Linked DNA regions of Mus musculus: regions 1, 3 and 4 are each reported to be linked to region 2. The links are microRNA targets in miRTarBase. Many come from high-throughput screens and were not tested one by one. Region 2 holds a microRNA gene; each other region holds the end of a gene's coding sequence.
The links. The annotated mature microRNA mmu-miR-453 reads AGGUUGCCUCAUAGUGAGCUUGCA and lies in region 2 at 2,574-2,597, shown strand. An mRNA with a match to its seed (bases 2 to 7 or 8) in the 3' UTR can be bound and repressed. Matches are read on the target gene's strand: a 7mer-m8 pairs with bases 2 to 8, a 7mer-A1 pairs with bases 2 to 7 and ends in A, and an 8mer does both.

Region 1 (5,622 bases), not on the chromosome of region 2:
GCATCAGACTCCACTACAGATAGTTGTGAGCCACCATGTGGTTGCTGGGAATTGAACTCAGAACCTCTGGAAGAGCAGTTCTGGCTGGCCTAGAACTCAGAGATCCACTTGCCTCTGCTTTCAACATGCTGGGTTTAAAGGCCTTCTACACCACTGCCCAGGTGTACAGCCTTCTACACCACAGCCTCCGCCTGCCTTCTCTCCCTCATCGTTCACAGAATTGCTGGTTAATCTTGACCCTCAGGGAGGATCCACCTTTACTATGAGCCGTACCTTCTGCGGGCAGCTTATTATGAGCAGGGAAGAAGGAAGCTTGCTCTTTGCCTGCTTGCTTGAACTCTCATTGGTAGGTTCAGTCTTTCATTAGCATTAGAGACTAATTCTTCAGGATTGCAGCACATACTGAAGACCACTGGAGACGTCCAGGCACTGAACAACTATTGGATTCTTGGATTCTCTGTTCGTAGACAGCCATTGTTGGACTAGCAGGACAACTGCCTGTAAAGCCACTCTAATAAATTCCCTTCATAATCATGTGCCAACATGCATGGCTCCTTGTTTTTGACAGGGTCTGTGCAGCCCTGACAGATCTGGAATTTACTGAGATCCACCCGTCTCTGCCTCCACCTCCTGAGTGTTGCCTTTAATTGGGTCTTACTGTGTAGGTCAGGCTGGTCTGGAACTTGCTACCTAGTCAACTTTATTACTTTTAACTGAAAACAGCCCTTGATGCCTCAGCTCTTAAGAGTAGTCTCCAGCTTCCCCTTCTCTTGCTCATCATTCGAGGAATTGCTGGTTGACCTTGAACCTTAGAGGTGAGCACCAGGAGCTTCCTTGTCCAGATCTCAATGCCTCACCTTTATGGCTGTGACTTCCTGATTCCATTTCCTCTGCTTTGGACACCTTCTACTTCCTACCTACCTAACCATCTTCCATTCAAATACTATCTCCTGGCCAGGAGTGCAGAGGCAAGATGGCCATGAGTTCTAGACTATCCTTGGCTACACAGTCAATTTAAGGTTATTCTTGGCTAATGAGCTTTAAAGCAAACATACAAAAGACTGGGCATGGTGGCACATGCCTTTAATCCTAACACTCAGGAGGTCAGCCCGGCCTATATAACAAGTTCTAAGCTAACAAGGGACACATGGTAAGGTTGTCTGGTGTGTGTGTGTGTGTGTGTGTGTGTGTCAAATGAAATGGCTCAGTGGTTAAGAGCACTGCCCAAAGACCTGGGTTTAATTCCTGGTACCCACATGGCAGCTCACATGTCAGATCCAGGAGATCTGACACCTTCACACAGAAATAAGTAGAACTAAATAAATCATTGAAAAATGAACGAGGGGCTGGTGAGATGGCTCAGTGGTTAAGGGCACCCGACTGCTCTTCCAAAGGTCCGAAGTTCAAATCCCAGCAACCACATGGTGGCTCACAACCACCCGTAATGAGATCTGATGCCCTCTTCTGGTGTATCTGAAGACAACTACAGTGTACTTACATATAATAAATAAATAAATCTTTAAAAAAAAAGAAAGAAAGAAAGAAAAATGAACGAGCACTTCTGCCTTTTTTTTTTTTTAGACAGGGTTTCTCTGTGCAGCCCTGGCTGTCCTGGAACTCACTCTGTAGACCAGGCTGGCCTCGAACTCAGAAATCCACCTGCCTCTGCCTCCCAAGTGCTGGGATTAAAGGCGTGCGCCACCATGCCCGGCTCTTTTTTTTTTTTTTTTTTTTAAAACCAGGTAAACCTCAGGAAAACTGACCTGAGAACAGGAAGGCGGTCACACAGAAGTCTTCAGCTAAAGCTAATTAAAAAAAAAAAAAAAAAAGCAGGGTCCTGATAAAATTACCTTCCCTGACTAATCTGACATAAAAGACCAGGCTAGCTTCAAATTATATAGTGAAGAACAGCCTTGAATTGCTGACCCTCCAGCCTGTTCCTCCTAAATGCTAGGATCACAGGCATTTATCACCGTGAATGGTCTGGCTATTAAAGAGAGAGTGTAACCGGGCATGGTGGCGCACGCCTTTATTCCCAGCACTCGGGAGGCAGAGGCAGGTGGATTTCTGAGTTCGAGGCCAGCCTGGTCTACAGAGTGAGCTCCAGGACAGCCAGGGCTATACAGAGAAACCCTGTCTCGAAAAACCAAAAAAAAAAAAAAAAAGAGAGAGAGAGAGAGTGTGTGTGTGTGTGTGTGTGTGTATGCTTCTGCACTCATACCTCCCTCTAAGCACGGACCCCACCAACTCCCATCTTTCCCACCCTCCTTGTCCCTCTTCATCGGGAAGTGGCCAGATCTGAATCAGTGCTCTTATACCCAGAGGCTGGGATGCTTGGCTGGAACCCCTGCTCATCCCCTGCTCAAGGGAAGAAGAAAGCCCAACTGCTCCCTCCCCAACTCCACTGTAAGAAAACTCTGGGCTACCGAGTCATCTCCCTTTCTCTAAACTCCAAGCTACCCACTTCACCTTATATGGGCATAATCCCAGCCCTAGCCCATAAAACCCCTTTGCCTTTAAGCCCAGCTCATGACTTCTCTGACCTCCACTTGTGAGATCAGTGAACTCACTCCAAAGTTGCCTTTCAATAAACCTTACTTTATACTTATGGTGAGTACACTGTCGATGTCTTAGACACCAGAAGAGGGCATCAGATCCCATTACACATGGTTGCTGTGGTTGCTGGAAATTGAATTCACGACCTCTGGCAGTCAATGCTCTTTACTGCTGAGCCATCCCTCCAGTCCTCTTTATACTTGAGATTCAGCTACAATTGGTTAATTTCATCCATGGAGAAACAAGTCTGTCTGTCTGTTTACCTACCCACCTACCTACCTATCATCTGCCAGCTTCCAGAACTCCTACTTTCACTCTTGGATCTGAATCCCAGTCCCGCTTAGCCTCATCCTCAGAGATCTCACACACACACAGGTGTTGCTGAAGGAGACTTTAATAGGGCACGGCTGATTCATCCTGAAGGTCAAAGAGGAAGGGCATCACATCTGTAAGAGAGTTCAGAGGAGCTTGCAATCTTGACCGGCTCTGTCCCTGGTCTGCTATGCTATCTCACAGAGCTTAAGGCTCCATGGCTACCACTTTTGAAGTCTTTCTGCTTGCTATGGCAGAATCCTCTTAATTGATAAGCCCTCCTACTTTTTACCCAGCTCAAAGGCCATTTGAGCCAGGATTCTGGGCTGTGAGCAGAGCCAGAGGCAACCTCAGTTTCCCTATTCCTTGAACACAATTCCCACTCTCATGGGAGGTCTCATAACTTAGAGGGTCTCAATCACGCCTGTCCTGCTTCCTGCAGAAGTCTTGAGAGTATGATCCAGAAAGGCATCTAGCCTAGAGTCTGGGCCTCGGGTCCCCCACCCCTGTGCTCAGGCATGACAAGGCTTCACACCTGGCTGGCTCATGCACTGTTGGATACTTTGCAGCTGAGTGGAAGCCAAGGTGCGGGCCTCCTTGGAAAAGCGGCGGTGTCCCTCCTCAGTCAACTTCCAGAGGCAGGATCGAGGCCCGGTGCTGGCCTCGACGCCCTGCCGACTGGCCGGCACTTTCTCAAAGCTGTCTCGGAAACTGAGATTGTGACGGACTGTGTTCTTCCAGGCTTCCGGGGCTGTCCGGAAAAAAGGAAAGTGCTCTCTGTGGACAAGGAGGAAGAGTGAAGACAGGTGTGGCACCCCTGAAAAGGACTCACTGGGGTCCTTGTTCTTCCCCAGGGCCAGGAGCCTCAGCTTCCTCTCAGGGGGAAGCAGGACAGGCTGGTCTGGAATTGCTCTTTGCCGGCAGAACCACATCTCAGCCTATGAACCATCGGTTTTTCTTTTTTTTTTAAAGATTTATTTATTTATTATATGTAAGTACACTGTAGCTGACTTCAGAAACACCAGAAGAGGGCAGCAGACCTCATTACTGGTGGTTGTGAGCCACCATGTGGTTGCTGGGATTTGAACTCAGGACCTTCGGAAGAGCAGTTGGCGCTCTTAACCACTGAGCCATCTTGCCAGCCCGAACCATCGTTTTTCTTTTTCCTTCTTTCCATCTTTGAGACAGTCTAATGTAGCCCAGACTGACCGTGAACTCACTGAGCAGCTGAGGATGACCTTAAACCCCTGGCCCTCCTCCTACCTCTGAATCCTGAGTGCTGGGATCACAGGCCTGCACCACCATGCTAGGGCTGAGAAACGTCTTCTTCTAAGCCCAGTATAATATCCCCAGTCTCAGTCTCATTTTCGCCCCTCGCTCGAGGGCTGGAGATTTTGACAGTGGGAACAAAGCAGAACCAAGAATAGGATTAAACCACCCAAGATAAACACTCTGAGACACGGGGCTCTTTGTCTGATACCAGGGAAGACCTCCCTCACACTTATGTATGACTATCAAAGCGAAAGGTTAGCCGGTCATGGTAGCGCATCCTTAATTCCACCACTCAAGAGACAGAGGCAGGTAGATCTCTGATTTTGAAGGCAGCCTGGTTTGCATAGTGAGTTCTAGGACAGCCAGCGCTACACACAGAAACCCTGTCACTTGGGAGGCAGTGGCAAGGAAGGTCTCTGAATTCAAGGCTAGTCCAGTCTATACAGTGAGATTCAAGTCAGCCTGAGCTACAAAGTGAGTCCTTGTCTCAAAAAAAGAGGCCCTAAGTTCAATGATCACACAACACACAGAGACACACACAATGCAAATTCTCAGTGAGGCTTCCATGACCCTTGGAGGTACAAGGTTCTGTGCCAGGCAGGACAGTCTAAGGGGCAGAAAGCGGAGATGTTTTGGGGGATGCTGGATTCTATTCTGGCTAATCTTTGGGGACAGGGTAGGAGAAACTGTAACGACCCAGGAGAATTGGTATTTGAGGGACAGCTGGATTGTAAGTGGCGAAGGGGTAGGAGTGGTTATGTTCTTGAGCGCTGAGTAGGCATATATTTTGCCTGGGGAAATAAAATGAGAAGGGGAAACTGCGTCAGCAGCCCAGGGCCAGGTTGGAAGTTATTAAACCCCGACCCTCCCCTCCCCCTCCTCACAGGGTCCCCTGGGCACATACCGAGTGAAACTGTAGATCTGCTGTACACTGAGGCCACAGGGGGGACTGTTTCTGAGTGCCAAGGCAATCAGATGGAAGTAATGGAGAGGGGGCCGGGACCAGAGCCTCCCCTCTGGGCTGATGGCTTGCGGAAGCCTCCACGGATTCTCGAGTGGAGCCCTTGTGGGAAGGGATGGGAGAGCCAGAGAGGAGCTGTCGTCATAACCCTTGGCGGCCTCCTCTTCTGTAGGCTAGACGGGCACAGAGTAGGATCTGGTCCTGACTCCTCCGCCTCAGCTCCAGTGTGCAGCGGCAAAAAGGGGAGCAGTCTAGAATCCACTATCCAACCTTCTCCCAGCCCCAGGGTCCAGGTCAGGTCTAGACGTGTTCATCTTTTATTGGCCCTCAGAAACCCAGCTGCTGCTGCTGCTTCGCCCCTGTGCCCACCCATCCATACCTCCTCCCAGGTGCTAGGGGAAGAGGCACTGTGCTTCTCCTCTGCTTCCTCTTCTGCCTGCAAGGAGGCAATGGCTGCTGTACCTCCGAAGCTTCTGAACAGCTGTCTTCTTCCTCTTTCAGGGCTGGCTGGAAGGCAGACA
Region 2 (5,622 bases):
GGACACGGAAGGGTGAGAGATGGGTTCTTACTAGGGCTTTGGGAAGCTATCCTAAGGAAGCTTCCTAGTGGCGAGCCACTAGAATCTGGAAATGCTAACTGGTCCTTCTCGTGCAAGGTTGCTTGTAGGAGTTGGTTACGCCATTTGTGATGGTCTTCTTCTTCTTCTTGAAACTGATTTCTTAGAGATGAGACAGTGGGAGTGGAGGATCACCTGGGATCATGTAGAGCTCAATGAACCTTCTCTTGATTCATATGAGGATGCTAGTAGCCTTGGTTGGGCTTTTCTGCAGTGGGACTTTTATAGTCCCCTCAGGACCTTGATGTGACTAACCATATGTGCACCATTGAGAAATGCAAGTCCCCATTCACATACCCCAGGGTCTATATACCTGCAGAGGACTTCTGACCTACAGCAAGTGGGCTCCCTTCTCATCTTGAAAACCTTCCAGTGTGAACTCTAGAACCAAGGAAGACAGAGAAAGGGGACAATGTCAGCATCGTTGCAAGGGAGGTGAGTGACCACCCCTGCCCCACTCCAGTGTGTTTCTAGAGCACTTGCCCCCACCTCACTAACACTCAGCATCCAATCTGCCTGCAGGTTGGTGGTTGGAAACCATAGCCCTTGGAGAAATGGAAGGGGCCCTTTGTCTGTCTTGTCTCTGCTTTTCTGTGGTACTTGAAGAGAAGTTGTTCGTGGTGGATTCGCTTTACTTGTGACGAATCATTCACGGACAACACTTTTTTCAGTACCAAATGCTACCTCTAAGGATTTCCTGGACATGATGGCAACTTGCAGAAAGATGGCGGTTCAGTCAAGCTGGTAGAGAAGCCAAGTATGGATGTTTGGCCACGGACAGTGTGCTTGAGCTAGCTGTAAGTCACCTGGTCGGGTTACCTGAGCATCTGATCCACCTGTAGGCCTCTCATCAGTGGGCCGTGCCAACCTTGGTGAGGCAGCTGTGGCTCTGCCCCCAAGTATCAGCTTACAAGACTTTGAAAAGAGGTCATCTTCCGGAAGAGATGTTGGTGCCAGCACCATTCAGGGTGTGTGACTGGTTGACCAGAGGGGCGTGCACTCTGTTCACCCTGTGGGCCACCTAGTCACCAACCCTCAGCATCAATTCCACTCAAAGAAGACTTTCCAGAGATCCTACCAAGTTTGGGGATATGTCAATGGACTTGATGGCTGTGCCTGCTCAGTGGACCAGGATGAACTGTGGTCTTAGGGGTGTATGTTTACATAAGATGCCATGAGGCATCCGTGGTAGCTGCTGCATCACTGTCACAGCCTCCTTGAAATGTTGACTTCAGATGTGGACATGATGTTGACTTCCCATGAGGGACCTGAAGTCCCTTCTCTCCTGGGTGTGTGACTGAATTGTACTTTACTAAGCATGTGCCTGTGCCTTACTTATCTGATGGATCTATCTTCCAGTTGTCTAACCTCAATATCCTGTCTCTACAGGAGAGTCTGTGAGATGATACCAACCTCTAGAAGCAGGCATGGTTGTCCCGACATCGCCACACTACCACAGGAGCTTCCAGAATACATTCTCTTCATGGAAACTGTGGAACCACGCCCCCTCTGGTCCAGGAGGACTAACCAGATTCAAGGCTATCACCATCCCCCTTCAGGTAAGTGTGCCTCGGGTGAGCATGCACTTAATGTAGGTGTATGTCACTCGGCTCGGCCCACTACCCAATGCTGTCCCACCCCTTCTTCACAGGACAGTGGAAGCAGCCACCTTTTCGAGAGAGTCGATGTGTTCTTCACCAGTGTTCTTCGCCAGTGATCATGTGTGATACTTGGAGAGAGGCTGGCCGTGATGAATTCGATTCATCTAAACGAGTCATACACGGCTCTCCTCTCTTCTAGTGTCAAACTCTGCCTCAGAGGTCTTCTCAAGCCACTACTGTTCCCAAGGTGGGTTTCTGGATGGCTAAACCCATGTCAAGTGCCTTTATCCAATTGTATATTTCACACAGTTATCCCAGTGTCCAAGCTAACCCACACACGACTTCCTAGGACATTTCTGATTTTTTGGAAAGACCAGAGACACTGTTGGGAGATTCTGTTTAAATGTTTAAACATACTGGCTGGCTTCTGTTTTGGTTAGTACCTAATTCTACCATGGAAGAACAACTAGAAGCAGCCTTGGCTAGTTAACCTTCAGGATACAGACTAGAATGGGACCCGGAACATTGTGAGCCTGTGTTGAGTTATCTGTAGCCATTCCATACCCTGAAGTGAAGTCTCTGAAGATGAGCTCAGCTTCACCCAGCATCCCCAGGACAACCTGCCTTGCAAACTTGTGTTTGCTGTGGGTATGGCTCTGCCACCTTTGACTTAGTAAACATTGCATGACGAGTCAAAAATCACCTTCCTCTTGGCGCTTATTTGGGGCCCATAAACCAGAGGTTGGCCAGAGAGCATGGGTCTGATTGGGACTTAAGCCACTTGGTTCACTTATTCTCAGAGTCCTGTCCATTCTGTGTCTACTCCCAAGGTGTCCCCCTGTGAAGAAGATGCAGGAGTGCTGTGAGAAGTGCCATCCCCTGGTACTTGGAGGGAGGTTGCCTCATAGTGAGCTTGCATTATTTAATGATGCCCAATACAGGATAGACCTGTTTTCTGTATCACATCTTACCAGGTGCTTCCTTGGACCTGATATCAATCATGAGGAAGCCACGATCCTGGTGGGGTTTATACCATCGTCCTTGAACATGTGGTTCCTTCCAGTGTCCCCTGACCCCATCCAGTCCCTCCATGGAGGGCATTGTCAGCATTGAGGTAGATACCCATGTTATAAACTTAAGACATGGATGTGGTGGCGCTCATGGTACCTCTGGCTTTTTTTATCTATTTGTAAAGAAAAGTAACAAATTTTGCTCCCCCACGTCTCCACTAGTTAATCTCGTCTTATAGGGAGGACTTAGACCTGTTGAGAAATCCTGGAGTGGGGTCCAGGGGTCAGCATTTTTTGGGGTGGGGATATAAGTGAGTGGTGATTTTCCTTGTCTGTTGGCTGGGATCTCAGAAGAAATTTGAGGACAGTAGAAGAACTATTTTTCATTTCTTCATTTTCTTTGTAAAAGGAGGATTTATTCTACTTATTACTATTTTATTAAAAAGATGTATGCTCGTGATAAAAATAAAAGCAATATGAAACAATTAAATTAAAGAAATTAGAAAAGTTTCTACCCACACATAAATAACTTCAGGAATATCAAACTCCTTTCTGAGACTTATATACAAATGGAAAGGGGAGTAAAGAGAGAAATATTTTACAGGATAAATATTCCCTGTGTCTAATCATTTTATTTCAAATATAAATCATCATTTCACTTGTGCTTAACCTAAGGAACGATGTCAGGAAGACTTTATAGATGTGTCCAAAAAGATCCCAGCCCAGCTGAGAAAGCTTAAGTTGAAAGCATTCAGTAGCTCAATCAGATTTTCTGCTGCTTCTGACTGCTACAAGATATGAAATGCCCCACGACATTGCTTTCTTTACTGTTGCAATGTGTTTTAATTTTTCTGTTGAAAAAAAATGCAAATGTAAGTCTTACAAGTGTTTGAGACGGGTCCTCAGTATTACAAACAGCTTCACTCGTGGCTACTTGTTTGCTTTAAACGGGGGCTTCTATTTCTCAGCTCTTAGTGTATCTCAGTGCAATGAGGATTTTTGTCATTCCTACAAGGATGGCTCCCAGATGCTACCTACCCTTCCTCCCTCTCTGCCCTCTCTCTACTGCCCCCTCTCCTCTTCTTTTTTCTTTTTTCCAAAATGGGGGGTGGTGGGGTGGGGTGGAACTCAGACCTTCACGCACGCACAGAGAAGACCCACTCACTGAGGCATACCCACGCATAGCTTCTGTCCTTGCTCTAATCCATATCCTGGGAACCCTCCAGAATGCCCCCACCCATAGGTCCCTAGGGCAGGGAGAGAGCGTGTTTTGAGTTAAGTTCTCTCTTCCTTAACACAAGGGTCTTCCTTTCTTTCAGATGTAGCTGTGCATTATACACCGACTAGCTTGAGCTGTGGGTGACTGTCTCCCCAGAGTTTTTACACATGTGTGGCGCTTTCCTTATGCAGTCTTGTTACTGGGTTGAGCCTTTAGCTGAACAGTGGGTTAACCTGGGTAGCATTCCTGTGTTCCTTCTCCTTTGCTGTCTGCTGGTCATAGCCTTAGTGTAGCCTGCTTGATACCTGATGTCTGAACTACAGTCCTTCCTCGTTTGTTTGGTTTTTTTTTTTTTTTTTTTTTGGGTTCTAAGACTTTCCTATTGGGCACTGGTGACTTTGCCAGATGATAACCCAGCCAGTGTTTTCCCATCATTTTTTTTTCTCGATTGTAATTTTCATTTCTTCTTTATTAGAGTTAGTTGTAGCCTTTAAAAGACGTTCTCTGCGGTTCTTTTCTTGACTTAAAAGATCCAAATTGTCTGTGTAGTTCTTTAGTCAGTCTCCGCCCCCTACTGCCACCTTCCCTGCATCCCTCTCTGGCATCCTTTGCATCATGAATTTATTTGATTAAAGGTATCAGTTCCCCTTTCCCACTGTTATTTTCCCCCTTGGCAGGATGCCTAATTGCAATGCCAGCTTCTGGGGTGAACATGGACCCACTGTCATCGGGCAAGGTCTAGGATGGACATGGAGACCCACCATCTGGGAGATTCCAGAGTGGACGTGAACCCACCATCATCAGGCAGGTTTTGGGATGGACATGGGCCCACTGTCGTCAGGTAGCTATGTGAACTTACTGTCAACCAAGCAAGTTTTAGTGTTCGTTTCTTTGTTGTCTCATTTTCAGTGGATCATAAGCTAAAAAGTACAACCTATTATTAGGAAAACACCCTGAAAGTTTGCTCACCCCAAGGGACGAGGCCATGACTTGAGTGTCAGTGCCATTTAGTGCTGACCTTACCTTTATAATGAGTATTGCCAAGTCAGCCTCTCTGTGAACTTTTCAGGAAATCCCTAGAAACAAAGCCTATGTAAGGCGAGGGTCATTGGTGTTTGCCTCAATCTCAGTATGAAGCTAGGAACTTTCCACTCCTATGATGAACACAGGATGAAATCTGTGCATCTAGGACCTCCATCACCAGACCCTTGTAAGGACCCTTAGACACTGTATCCTTGGCAGTGGTGCCAAGACTAGATAACCATGGGTGTCAGGGGTTGGGGAGGAATGGGTTGGACCTGGGGTGCGTGATGCCTTCTCAAGCCCTCTCACAGTCAATGCAGTAACCTGCTGTGTTCACTGTGCTTGGGGGACTTCCTGGAGGAAGCCAGCTTCAGAGAAGAGATGCTGGTACCCACGTGCGGTGCTTGAAGATAGGTTATCCGTGTTGCCTTCGCTTTATTCGTGACGAATCATACACGGTTGACCTATTTTTCAGTACCAAATCCCGCCTTGGAGGAATTTCTGGGGTGGGACTGTGGTGTTAGCGTCTTTCCAGGGTAAGTGAAGGGATGGTTCACCATGGTTGGATCTAGTAAGAGGTATGCTGTCCATGCCCAGTGTATCCCTGGTTCTCTGGTGGACTCAGGGAGGGACATACTTTGGAATGATCTGGAGTATTCTGTAGTCATCCACTTTATTACTTTGACAAATC
Region 3 (5,607 bases), not on the chromosome of region 2:
AATGTAATCCCTTGCCAGAACATCCATGATTAAAATTCCTCTACAACTGTGTGCCTTTAATTGGGGAGAACAGAAACAGGAGGATCCCTAGGGCTGACTGGCCAGAGAGTCTAGCTTGAATTAGCAAGTTCAAAAAACAGACCACCCTGCCTCAAAAAAAAAAAAAAAAAGTGGAATGCTAGGACTATGTCTCAGTGAAAGAGTCCGGCCTAGATGTGCCCCAGGGAGGGGCTAGGGTGTGGCTCAAAGGAAGAGCTTCCACCTAGCTTTGCACAGTGAGGGGCTGGGGTCCGTGGTTCAGGGGTAGAGTCCCTACCTAGAATCCCCCAGTGAGTGGATGGAGTCCGTGGTTCAGGGTTAAGTTCTTGCATAGTGTGCCAGCGTTCTATCCCAAGCACCACACATATACACAGAATAGACTGTGGACAGTCAATTAGGAAAGCCCACTGCCTATGATTCCCTTCTCCCACCAAGTGTTGCTAACGCTGAGCCCTGGTGCTGTCATCCTTGCCCCAGAAAGCACTCCCTTTCTATCAGGCCACCCCCTTACCCCAGACACATTTTCACAATGTTCTTGGCAGTAAGGAGCTATTGGTCAACTTGTTTTCAGATTTGAGCAATTTCACACAAGACAAAAATGTTCTAGATAAAGAATTGAATGGCGGGCTCTCTCTCTCTTTCTCTCTCTCTGGTTTAAGGACTGAATCTAGGGCCTTAAATGTGCTAGGCCAATGCTATACTACTGAGGCACACTCCCACCCTCACTACTGGATCCTAGGCAGAGGCTCTATCTCTGAGCCACATCCCCAGCCCCTTACTAGGGGAGCACTTTACTGTTAATTCATGCCTATAGCCCTGCCTGATATCTTACCTGGAGAGTGAGGGCTAGGAGCATCCCTGGAGACAACAACACAGGTCCCCTGTTGTGAGGCAACAGGAAAGATGCAGCAAGCATATCAGTTTTCTGGCTACTAACCCCTAAATCAAATTAAAATGGATACCATGGTTCTGAGCCCCTGTTTTAGGGGAGACTGGAAGGCAAGGGTAGGGGGTCAATAGATGCTGGAAGATGCATTATGGTGGTACCAAGAAAGCCACAGGTCAGGAAAAGGACCACGAAGAACATGTAACAAGTAATGATGACATGGTGACACTTGAGCTAAAGGGAGGTAACAGGTGGGGAGAGCTGCAGGTGCAAAGGCCTTGGGGCAGGAACAAAGTGTCACTGGTTAGAGGATGCCTCCCTGAATGGTATACCTACATAACACAGAAAGCAAGGATGGACATTTTATTCTTATAAAGAGGGTCTTAAAGATTCTTTGTAATGTGGGAGGTTTGCCAAGATCTCAGCTGATGACAGTAGCCACAGAGAGCAATAAATGCTTGCACAATCAACATTTGTGTTTGGTAGTATAGACACTGTGCCGGCTAGTTTTATGTCTGCTTGAGACAAGCTAGAGTCATCAGAAAAAGGAGGCTCAACTGAGAAAATGCCTCTATTAGGCTGTAGGCAAGCCTGGGAAGGCCCTGCCCATTGTGGGCGGTGCCACCCTTGAGGGAGTGGCACTGCCTTCTAGAAGAAATCAGGTTGAGCAAGCACAGTAAGCAGCGCCCTCTGTGGCCTCACCAGCTTCCACCTCCAGGTTCCCGTCCTGCTTGAGTTCCTGCCCTCACTGTTTTGGGTGATGAATGAACTCTTATATGGAACTGAGTGAAATAAGCCCTTTCCTCTCCAAACTGCATTTGGTCATATTCCATCACAGCGGTAGTAACCCCAAGACAGACTCATCCTTCATGTCGGTATCATCAGATTCGGTCGGGATGGGTGGGCCACACCTTTAATCCCAGCACTAGCTAGCCTGGTCCACATGGTTCCAGCCAGCCAGGACTACACAATGTGATGAGTATTTTTTTAACTTTTTTTTTTTTTAAAGGAAAGATGAGAGTAGTTTAAGCAACAGTTTTGTTTCTGCTGAGAACCATCAAATAATCCTTAGCCCACTTCCCAGGCTTCTCTAATAATTAGGTCACCCAAGCTCTGGTTACGATCTGGGCCGCAGCATCCCCTGGCGCTCACCTCGCTGAAATACGGAAACAGATCCCAGAGAGAAACAGCAGTTTGCTGCCAGGGATCTTAGAGTTTACATTTAAACTTTAGAATAACCTCCCGTGCCAGACAACTCCAGCACTTCAGAACCTGGGGTAAAACGGTAGGGAGTTCCAGGCTAGCCTGAGCTACAGAGCAGGAAGATCACCCTCTGTCTCCCTCCACTTACCATCCATCCCTTCTGCACTGAAACCAGGACAGCTGGTTGGGATTGAGGGGGGGGGGGGGCTGTGACAGACGATTTCCTTATTCCCACTCATTCATTCCAAATTTCATGATCTTTTTGAGTTGGGGTGCTCAGGACAATCTGATTAGAATCCCAAGCCTCATGTTCTCAACTTTTCTGAGAAATGTCTTTAGATTCCCTGGGCTTTGATGAACTCAAAATCAAAAGGATCCTCCTAGCTGTGTCCACAACTCTGCATGGCTCACATGCCCAGGCAGGACCCAAAAGACAGGACCCAAATGACAGGGGGCACCGTGCTTGGCTTCCAGCCCAGGCCACTCTAACACTTGGACTGGGCTTCTTGGCCTCCCTGCTCCTGAACCCCTGAATCCTTCCATAGTGTTCAACTGCCCATCAGTAACAAAATCTTCACCCAGCTTTGCCAGGTCCCACCTAGTTCTCAGACCTTTGTAAAATCTCATTCTAAAGTCAGAGACAGAGGCCAGGGCTTCCAGTACTGCTGGGTGAGCTCTGTAATCCCGGTGCTCTTGTTCATGGGCAGCACTTAACTGTCTGGCTCACCATGTGGCACCATGTAGCATCCTTCCATGGTTTTGGCTTTGTAGCCTTGAGCCTCCCATTCCCTTCTACTCCTATTCCCACCTCTAGATGAAACACTTTGGGATGCCTTCCAATCCTCTTTACCTGTGATACCTGCCTGGCTGTGTCCCCAAAAAGAAGGTCCCTTCTCTGTCTTATTCACACACTGAACCATACCTCCTGTTACTCAAATGCTATGGGCTAAATTGTATCTGTTCCCAAGAGTTAGATGATCTTGTCCTAACCCTTTGTATCTCAAGATGAATATATTTAGAAACAAGGTCTTTTTAAAGATAATTAAGTTTAAAAAAAAAAATGAGGCCACAGGGTGGGCTCTCATCCAGTATGTGGTGACATAAGAAGAGGAAATTGGGACACCTGCAAAACGCAACCATGTGAGGACACAGAGAAATGGCCAGCTGCAGGGGTGGAGATGTGGTTCAGCTGGAAGAGTACCTGCCTAGCATGCATGAAGAACTGTGTTCATCCCCCAGCACTGCAGAAACTGCACAGTGGCAACCCCAACTGCACAGCTGTAACCCCAACACTCAGGAGTTCAAAATCACCCTCAGCTATTTAACAAGACCAGCCTGGAACTACAGGATACCCTTTCTTGAATAAAGGGTATCTATCTACAAACCAATCAACACCTCCAGCAAAGACCAAACTTCCAGAACTGTGGAATAATAAATTCCTGTAAAGCCATCTGAGTGAAGTGCTTTTATTCATTTATTTACCTGTTTGTTTGTTTATTGCTGTGTGTTGGGGGGAGGTGTACATGTATCTGGGTTCGCACTGAAGCCGGGAGAGAGCACTGAATTCCCTGGAGCTGGAGTTACAGTCAGTTTTGAGTCACCCAAATTGGGTGTTGGGAACCAAATTCCAGGCCCCTGTAAGGGCAGGAAACGCTCTTAACTTCTGAGCCATCCAGGCCCTAGGAATAGTTTATAAGTTGACCCTACTGAACAAATATACCTCCATTAAAAACTCTGGTAAATCCTGCAATTAAGAGTCTACAGGCATATCTTAAGGTTGGGTGCGGGGGGTTACTAGGAAGCCGGTGTTAGAGTTTGCTGTATTTTATTTATTTTTTTAAGATTTATTTATTTATCATATGTAAGTACACTGTAACTGTCTTCAGACACACCAGAAGAGGACGTCAGATGTCATTACGGATGGTTGTGAGCCACCATGTGGTTGCTGGGATTTGAACTCAGGACCTTTGGAAGAGCAGTCAGTGCTCTTACCCGCTGAGCCATCTCACCAGCCCCAAGTTTGCTGTATTTTAAATGCTAGCTCTGATTGCTGGAATTGGGGATTCAAGTTCTACTTGCAGTAGCTCCTGGGAGGTTCCGGGGAAGAGTCAGGATTCAGGTCTACTCTATTTCCGTTTCTATTTCTGGTGCTGGAGATGCATCAGTGGGTAAGAGACTAGCTGTTCTCACAGCAGACTCAAGAACCTTCATGGCTTCACACAACCATTTATAACTCTGGTTCCAGGGGATCCCACACCCTATTCTGACCTCTACAGGCACTGATACTTATGATGCATAAACATACATACAAGTGTAACACACAAAATAAAGATAAAGGTTAAAATTTTTCCTATATTTCTAACCTTACAGCCTAAAGAACTCTAGTGACAGTGGGGTTGCAGCCCTGGCAACCCCTAATCTGCACCTCTCTATCTCCTCTGCCAAAATCAGGCCTGGGTTTGGATGGAGGACCCAGCAAGAGAGCCAGTGCCTCCTAAACTTCAAGCCAATACTGACCCTACAGCCCAGGTTCTCAGCGTTAATGAAAGCTACAGATGCTTCTGGGGGCCGGGGAAAGGTTCGGGCAGGACAGTGAAAACGCAGGGGGAGGTCTGGCTCAATACAGCTCCCTCTGGGAAGAAAATGAGGTGAGCCCTGGTGGGAAGACAGAAGGGAAGCGTTTATTTCTCTGGAATAGGAGAGGGCAGAGGCAAGGGGCTGTGTCAGGGCAGGGCCACACCCTCCAGCTTCTGATCCAGTGTCTTGAGGTCATCGAGGAAGCGGGTTGGAGTAAGGATGTGAGAAGAGCCTGGGCAGGAGGGGAAGGTTAAAGGAGGAGGTAGAGTCCCTCCCTCCTGACTCGTGTCCTGGCTGGTGAGAACAAACTCCTGCCCTTCTGCAAACCAGGGCCCTGTCTTCTCAATGATTGAGGGGTTCAGAAACTTAGGAACAGGGGTATCCAGCCCCAGGTGATTACTCCACTGAAGACTCCAGCCCCAGCCTTTCAAAGTCCCCAGATTCCCACCCCCAAGCCCAGAACTTTCATAATCTAATCCTAGCCCTTTAGGGATTCTTTGAGTTCAGCCCCAGCCCCTCAAAGACCAGAGCTCAGTCGCAGGCCCTATAAGGACCTCAGAGCTCAGCCTTAGATCTCAATAGACTACAGAGTCCAGCACAGGACACCCCCCCCCCCCCCCAAGAGAAAGAGTCCAGACTCTAGCCCTGGGCTTTTAAGGACTCAGAATCTAGGCTCAGGCTCCAGAGAAGCCCAAGTCCCCACATCTTAGGCGTTTGAGGACAACAAATCTAACTGCAGACTCTAAGGGACCCCATGTCCAGCCCTGGTCCCCAGGAATCCCCACAGTCATACTCCCAAGGACCCCAGTTCTGGCTACTTACCTATGAGCACCTCCCACTTGCCCTCAGTGGCCCTGGTCACCTCATAGGCAGCCCTCATTTCCGACATGGCGACACCACCC
Region 4 (5,622 bases), not on the chromosome of region 2:
CTGCTTAAGCTTCTGTAGTTGGAGTGGCAAGATCCCACCTGCTAGGTGAAGGGCAGAGAGTGACTTTTGACCTGTACCTGCTGGTCCTGACTTGAGAGGTGAGAGCTGGTGCCTGGGCAGAGCCTCAAGGCCCCTGGCTAACAGTTCTGCTTAGGTGTGTGTCTGGGAATCTGACCTGCGTCAGCCGAGGTCTGTACACTGTCCTCAGTCAGACAATAGTGTGTCTAGGGCAGGGTGTGACTAGGGGACTCCTGGAGGAGTGGCACATTCACATATGTGGAACTGGGACCTCCCCCTACAGTCGGGAGGAGAGCTGGTTGTACAGGCTCCACCTACCGGCATCTTATTGTCTCTGCCCTGGCTGGTAGTAGAGTCAGCTCAGAGTCCTCACAAACTGTCCCTTAGGGTGGCCTGAGCTCTCTGCCATATCTGGGAACGGGTATGAGTGGTAAGTACCTAGCAGCCTGATTGTGGGACTCAGGGAATGCTTGGGGGTGCCGATCAACAGGAATGTACCCTGAAGGTCTGCTGGTGCTTCCCCCCCTGTTGCCAGCAGGAGTGAGTCAGCAGATGTTGGGGGGTCCTCCATGATAACCCACCATGTGTCTGGCTGTGAGGAGGTTAGTTCAGGAAGTGACTCATAAGGTTCCTGGGAATGCTCCTCTGAGGGCAGATAGCTGGCTGAGCTCCAAACTGCAATCATCCGGGGACTGCTGGATCTCCTCCTGTCTCCGTTGGTAGATAGCTTTCTTCCTACTTGGAGGCCTGGTGCTTCAGGCCATCTGACCTCCTCCCCGTTCCTCTAGGCCCAGGATGGGTGAATTCAATGAGAAGAAGGCAACATGTGGCACAGTCTGCCTCAAGTACCTGCTCTTTACCTACAACTGCTGCTTCTGGGTGAGAAGAGCTAATTTCTCCCTGCATCCCTAGTCCCCATGTTGGAGGCCTGGCCTGGGGGGCTCAGTCCCAGCTTCCAGACCCAGGCCAGATGTGGTGACCAGTATATACTTTCTGCAGCTGGCCGGCCTGGCTGTCATGGCAGTGGGCATCTGGACACTGGCCCTCAAGAGTGACTACATTAGTCTGCTGGCCTCAAGCACTTACCTAGCCACGGCCTACATCTTAGTGGTGGCTGGTGTTGTTGTCATGGTGACTGGAGTCCTGGGCTGCTGTGCCACTTTCAAGGAGCGACGGAACCTGTTACGCTTGGTCAGTGGGGCATGGTGGCACACGGTGGGGCTAGGGGTGCCTTGCATGGATTTCTCAGGGGGCCTCTGGTACTGGTTCTGGGGACTTAACTGGTTGAGTGTATTACTGCAGGCTGTCCCTGTTGGGGCAGACACGAGCTTCAGAACTATGAAGGAGCTAGGCAGCCCCAGAGTGTAGCTCCTAACTGAATTCCTCTTGCTTGGCCTCCTGGGTTGGGGGCTTGGCTTTGTGGTACTCTGGCACTAGCAACCCCCCACTTACTGGGTCCCTGCTCCCTAGTACTTCATCCTGCTCCTCATCATCTTCCTCCTGGAGATCATTGCTGGCATCCTGGCCTATGTCTATTATCAGCAGGTAAGGGCCTGGACAGGCCATGGGGTGTGCCTAGAACATGGCCCTGTCAGTCCCATTGGAGGTCCTGGCTCCAGCTTTGCCTTTGCCCAGAGTTTGATCCTACCCACAGCTGAACACAGAGCTCAAGGAGAATCTGAAGGACACCATGGTCAAGAGATACCACCAGTCAGGCCACGAGGGTGTGAGCAGCGCTGTCGACAAGCTGCAGCAAGAGGTGGGTGCCCCTAGAACTGCCCGCCCTCTCGGCATGGTGCCGTGTGCCGGCAAGCGCTGAGGCTCAGCCATGTGCCCCTTGTAGTTCCACTGTTGTGGCAGCAACAACTCTCAAGACTGGCAAGACAGCGAGTGGATCCGCTCTGGTGAGGCAGACAGCCGCGTGGTTCCTGACAGCTGCTGTAAGACTATGGTAGCTGGCTGTGGTAAGCGGGACCATGCCTCCAACATCTATAAAGTGGAGGTAGGTGGGTTCTCAGCAAGGGGCGGGGCTAGGCCGGACTGGTCTTCAGGCAGCCTGGCCCACCACCCTTCTCTCCCACTAGGGTGGCTGTATCACTAAGCTGGAGACCTTCATTCAGGAGCACCTGCGGGTCATTGGGGCGGTGGGCATTGGCATCGCCTGTGTGCAGGTCTTCGGCATGATCTTCACCTGCTGCTTGTACCGAAGCCTCAAGCTGGAACACTACTGACCACGATGATGTCAGGCCGGGCGGCCAGCCTTGCACTACTGACCACGATGATGCCAGGCTGGGCGGCCAGCCTTGCACTATGTCCCAGCCCCACTACTGAACACTACTGACTTAGACTGCTGACTGCCAGAGGTAGCTACCCTCATGCCATCGCCATGACCCCCCCTGGCATGCCACCTCAGGGGCATGCACCTTCAAGTGCCTTTCACTGCACACCAAAGTCCCAAAGCTCGAAGCAGCGTACTTGCCCCAGCATTAAGAAGGGGGGGGGGGGTGGGGGGTTCAAATGCCAGTGTTGGGCTAGGCCTGGCTAGTAGAATAGGGTTTAGATTATTTGACAGAAGTGCCTCTTATGCAGACTGCTTCCCTTTGGGTAGCTGTGATCTGCAGTAAGTCTGGGGAGAACCTGAGTACACCACTACACGTTGGGTAAAAGCAGGTGGGGCCTTTCTGGTTGGATTAGGCACCCTTCATGCCTGCTACCAGGAACTCTCAGATCTGCTTGCCCCAAACAAATGGTGTAAGCTGAGGGAAACTCCAACCCCACACTTGATGCTCTGTCCTCTCCACACAGGCCTCTTGCTCCTAACAGCTCAGCCCTGGCCTTTTCTCACTACTGATAGCATCATGTAAATGCTCCATGTTCCTGTACACTGTCTCCTTTTGGAGCATCTCTGAATGGAGCATGGCTGTTTTCATCTCACTGCTGTATTCCAGATGCTGCCCACAAATGCTCCTGCTATGTAACAGGTGCTCAATAAATGTAAATGTATAAGCACTCGAATCAGCTTGCTGACAGGACCTTATGGTCCAGGGTAGCTGGAGTACTCACAAGAGTCAAGGTTGGTGAAGCCCAATGGCAATTACAGTTAGGGTGAGCACTGGTAGCTGGAACATCCCCCCAGCCCACTGTGGCCTGGACTTGTCCATGCTCAAGGAAGAGTCTGTAGGCCTTGCTAGGGTCAGAGGGCAAGGGAGGCACCAGGGCCTGTTGGGGATGCCCTGGCTCCTGTTTCTCTGGCTTTAGCTCATCTAAGCAGCTGAGAAGAGGTCCTAAGCTGATTTTGTTCCCCACAGTCTTCTGTGCCAGCTGGAGGAGGCCACTATGGGTTCTCTGGACTCTAGCCTAAGGCAAAGCCTTTTTCTTTTTTTTTTTTTTTTAAAGATTTATTTATTAATATATGTAAGTACACTGTTGCTGTCTTCAGACACTCCAGAAGAGGATCTTGTTGCGGATGGTTGTGAGCCACCATGTGGTTGCTGGGATTTGAACTCTGGACCTTTGGAAGAGCAGTTGGGTGCTCTTACCCACTGAGCCATCTCACCAGCCCGCCTTTTTCTTTAAAACAACAAAAAACCAGGGGTGGGGTAGGGTGGGTATGCTATGCCACACACACCTTTAATCCCAGAATCCAAGAGGTAAAGGCAGGCTGACTGTTGTGAGTTTCAAACCAGCCAAAGCTGGTCTCAAAAAACAAAACAAAAAAACCCACCAAAATTCTCAAAGGGATCAATGTGCTAGAAAGAACCCGGGGTACTTGATGCAGATGCCTAGGAGCTAAAGCACTACACCACCTCCTTTGGCCTAGAGTAGGCTTCTTAGGACTACATGCTGTGGGGATTGGGTCAAGGGGCAGGGCTGCCTAGCTGTCGGGCCTGGGAAGATTCTGGAAACAAGATCCTCAGGCATGGGCAGCAGATAGGCTCACACAGCTGATGGGCTTTAGGACCCAAGAAATTCGTGAGGCCTGTGGCCTTGGGCGTACTCCTACAGTATCTGGGTTTGGTTGGGTGGCACAAGCCGTCCTTTAAACTCAACACTCGGGAGGCAGAGACTGATCTCTTTAGTTCAAGGCCAGCCTGGTCTGCAGAGTTGAATTCCAGGATAGTCAAGGCCAAACAGAGAAACCCTGTCTTGGAAAATGAAAGGTAAATAAATCTGGGTTTGATTCCCAATACCTGATGGCAGCTTATACATTCTATAACTTTACTCTCAGGGGATCTGGCCTCTGTGGGGACACAGTGATACAAAGACTTATAAGCAGACCAAATACCCAAATGCATAATAACCCTAGCACAAGGATTGGGACCTCCAAGCACGCTCAGCATTCCAAAGGAATATTGTCACCAGGCTTGGGCCCATCCATACCTGTGGATGGTGTGGTGCCCACATCCATTATGCCCATCCTGAACACAGGCAGGAAGCGGAGAGGCCCTAAAGCAATGTGGTACAAGACTACTGTAGGGCTACCTCGTTGATCAAAGTGGTCAAGGCCCCGGGGAACGGAAGCAGGGTACTCCTCCACAGGACGAGACTCCCAGTCAGATGAAGGGGAAGGAGACCAGCCCTAGGGGAAAGACTGGAGGCAGGCCAGGTAGCCTCAGAGACAGCACAGACATGGACATGGAGCACCTTGGAAGTTAGACCTGTTGGTGGTTCTGCAAACATCTTTACTAAACAGTTCCTTCCAGGGTAACAGGACTTAGCCACAGGGCCACAGCCAGGCAATACACCAACATCCCCAATAGCTCAGTTTGAACATAGCACGACAGGCTGCCCGTGGCCAGCAGGAGACAGAGGAGGGCAGGCTCCAGCGGTCACTTCTCTAGGGGTGCATAGTTCAGCAGCTTCTCAATCAGGTCCACGTGTGCTAGCAGCATGCGGCGGCAGCAGTAGCGCTTTAGGCCCAGAGCGTCCAGGGCATCCCTGTAAAGAGAAGAGTGAGGCTGGATGTGGTCTCTAGAGTCTGGATAGGTTTGGAACCACCTCCAGCTTGCCTCTGGGTATTCGTGTGGATAGGGGTTACCAGAGCACATCTACATAATCAGCGATTGAAACCTGACACCAGGCCATAGGGAAATGGCCTGGAGATTTCTGAAATATGTATCTAGATGCTCAGGGAGGAGCCAGGTGACCCTTTCCCCACCTAGAAGTTACACCTGCTCATGTGCCAGTCTTCTCCCATAGCATCCTGTATCCATCCTTAACAGCCTTCTGCCTACACCTGTTTTTTAAAATTTCGTTTTATGTGTATGGGTGCCTGATGCTCCCAAAGCCCAAAGGAGTTACGGACACTTGCGAGATACCATGTTGCTTCAAGGAACGGAACCTGAGTCCTCTTAAAAAACAATCAAACAACCAAACACACAAAACAGCCAGTGCTCTTAACAGTTGAGCCATCTAGCTGGGTGTGGTGGTGCACACCTTTAATCCCAAGCACTTGGGAGGTAGAGGCAGAGGCAGGTGAATTTCTGAGTTCGAGGCCGGCCTGAGCTACAAAGTGAGTTTCAGGACAGCCAGGGCTACACAGAGAAACCCTGTCTTGAAAAACAAAACAACAACAAAAAAAACAGTTGGGCCATCTCTCTAACC

Region 1: the mRNA of Foxr1 is a reported target of mmu-miR-453. Seed matches in the 3' UTR shown: 7mer-A1 at 3,938-3,944.
Region 3: the mRNA of Stxbp2 is a reported target of mmu-miR-453. Seed matches in the 3' UTR shown: 7mer-A1 at 4,068-4,074.
Region 4: miRTarBase lists Polr2l as a target of mmu-miR-453. Seed matches in the 3' UTR shown: 7mer-A1 at 3,504-3,510.

What each region holds. Positions count from the first base shown.
Region 1 is chr9:44,430,379-44,436,000 of GRCm38, forward strand. It overlaps Foxr1 (forkhead box R1), which reads right to left. Exons shown (of 5, transcript NM_001033469.2): 3 at 5,481-5,622; 4 at 5,045-5,203; 5 at 3,856-4,931. The coding sequence ends at 4,799. Among named protein-coding and RNA genes, the nearest start is that of Foxr1, 7.7 kb to the right of the region's middle.
Region 2 is chr12:109,733,096-109,738,717 of GRCm38, forward strand. It overlaps Mir453 (microRNA 453), which reads left to right and starts at 2,524; the gene lies at 2,524-2,605. It overlaps Mir382 (microRNA 382), which reads left to right and starts at 676; the gene lies at 676-751. Mir134 (microRNA 134) reads left to right here and starts at 1,044; the gene lies at 1,044-1,114. It overlaps Mir668 (microRNA 668), which reads left to right and starts at 1,637; the gene lies at 1,637-1,702. It also overlaps Mir485, Mirg and Mir154.
Region 3 is chr8:3,641,976-3,647,582 of GRCm38, reverse strand. Stxbp2 (syntaxin binding protein 2) reads right to left here. Exons shown (of 19, transcript NM_011503.5): 18 at 5,528-5,607; 19 at 3,585-4,937. The coding sequence ends at 4,852. Among named protein-coding and RNA genes, the nearest start is that of Retn, 11 kb to the left of the region's middle.
Region 4 is chr7:141,468,449-141,474,070 of GRCm38, forward strand. Polr2l (polymerase (RNA) II (DNA directed) polypeptide L) reads right to left here. Exons shown (of 2, transcript NM_025593.1): 2 at 3,412-4,956. The coding sequence ends at 4,848. Cd151 (CD151 antigen) reads left to right here. Exons shown (of 8, transcript NM_001111049.1): 2 at 1-98; 3 at 807-897; 4 at 1,018-1,209; 5 at 1,489-1,563; 6 at 1,673-1,777; 7 at 1,862-2,020; 8 at 2,103-3,033. The coding sequence starts at 814. The coding sequence ends at 2,249. Among named protein-coding and RNA genes, the nearest start is that of Gm10575, 3.5 kb to the left of the region's middle.